Macaca mulatta: one gene and its partner. The protein of the gene in region 2 purifies or fractionates together with the protein of the main gene of each other region. This does not show direct contact. Links are inferred from orthologs where the notes say so. Each region holds a gene or a part of one and is shown on either strand. Other genes may lie near its edges.

Region 1 (3,035 bases), on a different chromosome or scaffold from region 2:
GCTGAAAATAGACCACTCACATGTCCTGGTGAAGGTCAGCAGCACTGACAGCGACAGCTTCGTGAAGAGGATCCGGGCCATTGTTGGGAATGTGCTGCGGGCACCCTGCAGGCGGGTATCTGTGGAGGACATGGCGCACGCAGCCCGCAAGCTTGGCCTAAAGGTTGACGAGGACTGTGAGGAGTGTCAGAAAGCGAAAGACCGGATGGAGAGGATTACCAGGAAAATCAAAGACTCGGATGCCTACAGAAGGGATGAGCTGAGGCTGCAGGGGGACCCCTGGAGAAAGGCAGCCCAAGTGGAGAAGGAGTTCTGCCAGCTCCAGTGGGCCGTGGACCCCCCTGAGAAGCACAGGGCTGAGCTGAGGCGGCGGCTGCTAGAACTTCGAATGCAGCAGAACAGCCACGATCCCTCCTCGGGGGTGCAGGAGTTCATCTCGGGGATCAGCAGCCCCTCCTTGAGTGAGAAGCAGTACTTCCTGAGGTGGATGGAGTGGGGCCTGGCACGGGTGGCCCAGCCACGACTGAGACAGCCTCCGGAGACACTTCTCACCCTGAGACCAAAGCATGGGGGCGCCACAGACTTGGGGGAGCTGCTCTGGCCTGAGCCCCTGGGGGTGGAACACTTCCTGCGGGAGATGGGACAGTTTTATGAGGCCGAGAGCTGTCTTGTGGAGGCGGGGAGGCTGCCAGCAGGCCAGAGGCGTTTTGCCCACTTCCCAGGCTTGGCCTCGGAGCTGCTGCTGACAGGGCTGCCTCTGGAGCTAATCGATGGGAGCACCCTGAGCATGCCCGTCCGCTGGGTCACGGGGCTCCTGAAGGAGCTGCACGTCCGACTGGAGAGACGGTCAAGGCTGGTGGTTCTGTCAGCCCTCGGGGTGCCGGGCACGGGCAAGTCCACACTCCTCAACACCATGTTTGGGCTGCGGTTTGCCACAGGGAAGAGCTGCAGTCCTCGAGGGGCCTTCATGCAGCTCATCACAGTGGCCGAGGGCTTCAGCCAGGACCTGGGCTGTGACCACATCCTGGTGATAGACTCTGGGGGCTTGATAGGTGGGGCCTTGACCTCAGCTGGGGACAGGTTTGAGCTGGAGGCTTCCTTGGCCACTCTGCTCATGGGACTGAGCAATGTCACCGTGATCAGCCTAGCTGAAACCAAGGACATTCCAGCAGCTATTCTGCATGCATTTCTGAGGTTAGAAAAAACGGGGCACATGCCCAACTACCAGTTTGTATACCAGAACCTTCATGATGTATCTGTTCCCGGCCCCAGGCCAAGAGACAAGAGACAGCTCCTAGATCCACCTGGTGACCTGAGCAGGGCTGCAGCCCAGATGGAGAAACAGAGCGACGGCTTCCGGGCACTGGCAGGCCTGGCCTTCTGTGACCCTGAGAAGCAGCACATCTGGCACATCCCTGGCCTGTGGCACGGAGCACCTCCCATGGCCGCAGTGAGCTTGGCCTACAGTGAAGCCATATTTGAATTGAAGAGATGCCTACTCGAAAACATCAGGAACGGCCTGTCGAACCAAAACAAAAACATCCAGCAGCTCATTGAGCTGGTGAGACGGCTGTGAGTGTGCAGAGAAACCCAGTTCAGGTGTAGGAGGCTGCTGTGGGCAGCCCTGTCTGATGGGGCACCCGTGTGGGCTGTGCCCTGGTGCCTGAGAATGGCCGGTGCCCAATCGACATGAGAAGACAAGCAAAAGACAGAGGGTTTGGAGTCTCCTCAACAGTGTTAAGAGAGGAAGTGACCTCACAGACCAGCTCAGAGATGTTACCAGGAATATCACAACCCCCAGGGTAGGGAGACACGCAGCAGTTTGTTCTGTCTCAGCTCCTGTCAAGGATCCCACGGGGTGGGCCCTCTGTATAGCTGCTCTCTGTCACTGGCCCCTGGAGTGGGAGCAGTGTCCTCAGTCACTGCAGGCCCAGGCGGGCAGGTGGTCCCAGGACAGAGGTGGGGAAGTTGTCTTGAGGAAGCAGAAGTAGGCCTTGCTCCCGCCCAGCCCAAGGGCCTCCAGTGGACCAGCATTTGAGATGTGAGTGCCCGTGGTGCACAAGGCACTCCCATGGCACTGTATTTATTGACTGAAGGCTTCCCTGACCCCTGCCCAGGAAGAGTTCATTGGTCGCTCTGTTGTGCCCCACAGCACTTTGTTATACCTCTGCCACACACTTCACGCAGCGCGTTGTAACTCATGTGTTTACATGTCTGTCCCCCAGACTGTGAGCTCCTTGAGGGCAGGGACTGTACATTCTCCAGCTCTGTGTCCCCAGGGCCTGGCACATTATAGATGCTTAATAAATGTCTGTTGAATGAATGAATGCACAAGTGATAGTAATGGGCAGGTTCTGCCTCTCTGTGCCTTAATTCTGTTTCTCAAAGAGGAGAGCAGCATCTATCTGAGGACTGGGTATGGTAGAGGCAGTATCTGGAAGGGTAGATAGGGTAGAGATGTGCCCTATCCTGGCACATTTTAGTAAAAAGCCATCCTGTTCTCTCTCTTTAAGGCAGGAGCCATTCTTCAGGCTGTTACTGGGGGTTAAAACTAAATACCTTCACAGTAACTCTGAGGTCTTTCCACTGTCACCCCATTTCACAGTTGAGGAAAAGGAAGCCTAGAGGAGGTAAGCCCCTGCCCCAGAGCTCACATCTGGATGGACAGAGCTAGAGCGGATAAGGGGTGGTGCTGTCACACTCAGCCCTGCACCTCTTCCTCTCACCCTCTCCAGACTCCCATAGCTTCTGGGCTTACCCCTGGGCAGCCACGTCAGTGCCAGCGCCTCCTCTGACATCCTCCCCGACCTCATCCACAACCCACCATTCGAACCAGAGGCTTGGCCAAGAACTTGGGACTTCTGCCCTGTCAGTTCTGCTGGAATCCTTGCCTGCACTGGCCCCTCCCAGGGGCCAGTGTCACCTCACTGGGCCTCAGAACCCCACCCCAGCCCTTTCATCAGCTCTAGGAAGCTCTGCTTGATCCCCTGGGCCTTGCTTAGACGTTGGAGCCTCTTTCTCTTTGTGTTTCTTGA
Region 2 (3,824 bases):
TCGAGTTTCTTTGATGCTGCAAAGTTTAGCAAAGTCATCCACTTATTGCTATTAACTTCAAAGCAATTATAGTGGCAAATTGTTTTCTTCAAACTATAAGGTTGATTTATTAGCAGATAATTTGCCTAAACATCAGTAGGTTTGTTTTCATCAATTTTGTATCAGTTTTTAGCATTAAAAAAAGTAAAATGTTTATATTCTCAACTTACAGCACATTTGTTTTTTGTTTTGCTTTGTTTTGTTTTGTTTTGTTTTTTTTTTTGAGAGAGAGTCTTGCTTTTGTTCCCTGGAGTGCAATGGTGTGATATCGGCTCACTGCAACCTCTGCCTCCCGGGTTCAAGCGATTCTCTTGCCTCAGTCTCCCAACTAGCTAGGATTACAAGCATGCGCCACCATGCCCGGCTAATTTTGTATTTTTAGTAGAGATGGGGTTTCTCCCTGTTGGTCAGGCTGGTCTCGATCTCCTGACCTCAGGTGATCCACCCGCCTCGGCCTCCCAAAAGTGCTGGGATTACAGGCATGAGCCACCACGCCCGGCAACTTACACCACATATTTAAAGAGCTAGAATAAATGTGAAAGTACTTAGGAGAATGACTGACATTTAATTTCATGTGTTATGTGGTAAAGACATTTATTTATTCAAATAAACCCTTTGATTATATTGCTTTTAAGTACTTAGGAGAATGACTGACATTTAATTTCATGTGTTATGTGGTAAAGACATTTATTTATTCAAATAAACCCTTTGATTATATTGCTTTTAAGATTCTATTTCTTGGATTATTTTACTGCCAGATGTTTTGATGTAGTATCAGGCCCTAATTGCAAATCATTTTAATCATACAGGTTTACAGTGACCTAAAATTCATAAATACCAGTAATAGTTGAGACATCAGTAGTACCATTCAACTCAGAAATTTCAAATTTTCTTGTTTTTTGGGCATCTTGATGATACTTATTAAAAAGTTGTTATTCTATTTCCTGTAATTGTTTTGGCCTTGATGTATGTGACTTGAGAAGAAGAGGCTAGTTAGAGGCGTGTGAATGCAGTTCTTTTTTCTCGGGATGGAGTCAACTGAAGCAATTGCATAGGGAAATTAGAATATTGTTTTTTCCCCCGAGATACAATGGCACAACAGTTTTAATACAACCACCAATCTTCACAAAATAATTTTAATACTTTGTGCCTGGACTAGCAGCATCTTGCACTGTGATATTCCTATACATACATAAGCATTTTATTGAAGTACAAATGTTAAAAGCAGAGTAACTTAAGCAATTGCCTATACAAAGGTAAATAGACACTGTAGGTTATTTTTCTTCTTGATTCATTTTTGCTGCATAGTAAGTTGCAATTACATTTCAGTATAATGTTACTGATCTATAAAATACATTTGAACTGTGAGGTATGGCATCTCCTTATGACAGAGTGCTCACATGTAAATCTGAATATTTTGAGTGTTTTTTTTTGTTTTATTTTGTTTTATCTGCCACAGATGGGAAAAACAGAAATCATGTAGCCTAGAAATTTCAGGGTTTAGCATTCAAGAAAGGCCTATTTTTGCTGATCTGACAAATGTAGAAATTTAGTTTTGGCTAATCAACATGGCCATTCCCATCAAGTTATGCCTTTAAGTCTCTATGTCAGAGAGGGTTCTTAGCTTTCAAATACTTAAGCCAACCATTTCTAATGATGGCTAGTCGTTACTGACTCTATTTTTTTTGTCTATCTTTTGGGCATAGAAGGAGTTGAGAGAGTATGTTTTTTGGGCCAATTAATACAATACAAAAGTTACTTTTATTTGAGATTGGGCTGTGTTTTTGAACCTTCTTCTTTTCTCACACATTTCTGTGTAGCAGAAGAGATAGTTAAATGTTGGTTCTTCAGAGATTATTTCAGCATACAGAAAACAATAGAGGCAATTGAAAAATCTCATCTAAGCTACTTATGTAGATTTGGGGCAGTCACTTTTCCTTTCAAAGAACACATATGCAGATAATCCCCACAGGTAATTCAATATTATTTCCCTCTGAGTGCCAGCATAAACATATGAACTTGGTGTATGTGTGGGTGGGCATCTGGGTGTGTGGATGGGTGTGTATGTGAACTTGGGCCCCTTTTATGTGTGGGTAAGAACTTTATAAAGGCTTGTTATAGTTTTAAAAAAATGTTTTTTGTGTCTTATGTTTTTCCCTGAAATAGTTAGCTTATAACACTAAAATAAGATTGTAAAATTTATATTAATTTTCTTTTAATAGACATTTTTTTTTTTTGCTTTTGGAGATTCATTACCTTTTTAAAAAAAGAATATTATTTTTCAACTACAAGTAAATATATAAATTGAATATCATTATGCTCATTAGTTCTGTACATGTTAGTAGCTTTAGCAGATAGTTTCTAATAAAAGAGCTCAGTATGCTCTTTAAATTTTTTTTTAGAATTTTCTGTGCTTATTCAAATTTATTGAACTTAATTATTTAACATAAGAGAACCAAGGAACCACTGAACTTTGAGAACACAACCGAAATGCTAACTTTAGTATTTTATTTGAGCTAGTGACCTAAAATTTCTGTGGTAATATATGAATATTTTGAGAGGTTAGCCAAAATTAATGGTAAGAAATTAATGGTAAGCTAGCACGTTTTTCTAGACAGAAAATTTGACTACACATAATTATACTTATTAATTTAAAAACTTTTACCTAGATTGTGTTTACTTGCAGAAGTGGCAGTATTTTACCACGTATATCAATCTTTTAAAATTTCTTAAACAGTTCTTCCATTTAAGAAGTAACCAAGCCAGGTGCAGTGGCTCACATCTGTAATCCCAGCTACTCAAGAGGCTGAGGTGGGAGGATCATTTAAGCCCAGGAGTTCAAGATTAGCATGGGCAACGCAAGACCTCATCTCTAAAAATCAAATAATTTTAAAAATGAAAAACAACCCAGTAGATTTAAACATGACCTTTACATTGCTTTTAAATGTCATAGACTGAATAGTTCAGAAATAAGGGAAATAAAAGGAAGAATTTTAAACATTTCCTGGAAACCCTTGTATACAGTACATATTTCTTGTCCTTAAAATATTTTTATCATGAGAGTTAAATATTATAGACTTTCAGATAACTAGTCATATAGTCAAATAATTGAGTCCAAAAATTTACATATATTTTAGTTGGCAGACCTTGATTGACTAGAAATTCAGAAAAGGACAGCACTGATGAAAAGCTGATCCCATATTGTGGAGCTACTGTCTGACACGCTCCTATCTGCTTTCTGCTGGGTCTCACAAACTCCTGTCCCTTTCCAGGCTGGATTGATGTCACCTGGGATGCTGGTGGCTCAAACTCTTACCGTATGGGCGCAGAAGGAAAATTTGACCTCAAGCTTGCACCAGGGTACGACCCTGATACAGTGGCATCACCCAAACCTGTTTCATCCACTGTTTCAGGCACAACGCAATCATGGAGCAGCTTGGTGAAAAACAACTGTCCAGACAAGACATCTGCTGCTGCAGGCTCCTCAAGTAGAAAAGGAAGCAGCAGTTCTGTGTGTAGCGTGGCCAGTAGCAGCGACATCAGCTTGGGTTCGACCAAAACGGAACGGAGATCAGAAATTGTAATGGAACACAGTATAGTTTCAGGAGCTGATGTCCATGAACCAATTGTTGTTCTTTCATCTGCTGAAAACGTCCCTCAAACAGAAGTAGGGTCGTCTTCCAGTGCAAGCACCAGCACCTTAACAGCGGAGACGGGAAGTGAAAATGCTGAAAGGAAGTTAGGCCCCGATAGTTCTGTTCGTACTCCTGGGGAGTCTAGTGCAA

What was found.
Region 1: the proteins of HECTD1 (region 2) and URGCP purify together in Homo sapiens (affinity purification with mass spectrometry; 4 studies listed by BioGRID and IntAct, with this or other methods). This does not show direct contact. The link is inferred for Macaca mulatta from reciprocal best matches to the Homo sapiens genes HECTD1 and URGCP.

The regions. Positions count from the first base shown.
Region 1 is NC_133408.1:84,482,384-84,485,418, forward strand, and holds the end of URGCP (up-regulator of cell proliferation), read left to right. Parts: coding exon 1-1,576; 3' UTR 1,577-2,323; downstream 2,324-3,035. UniProt on the Homo sapiens protein: May be involved in cell cycle progression through the regulation of cyclin D1 expression. May participate in the development of hepatocellular carcinoma (HCC) by promoting hepatocellular growth and survival.
Region 2 is NC_133412.1:104,252,669-104,256,492, reverse strand, and holds part of HECTD1 (E3 ubiquitin-protein ligase HECTD1), read left to right. Parts: intron 1-3,311; coding exon 3,312-3,824. UniProt on the Homo sapiens protein: E3 ubiquitin-protein ligase which accepts ubiquitin from an E2 ubiquitin-conjugating enzyme in the form of a thioester and then directly transfers the ubiquitin to targeted substrates.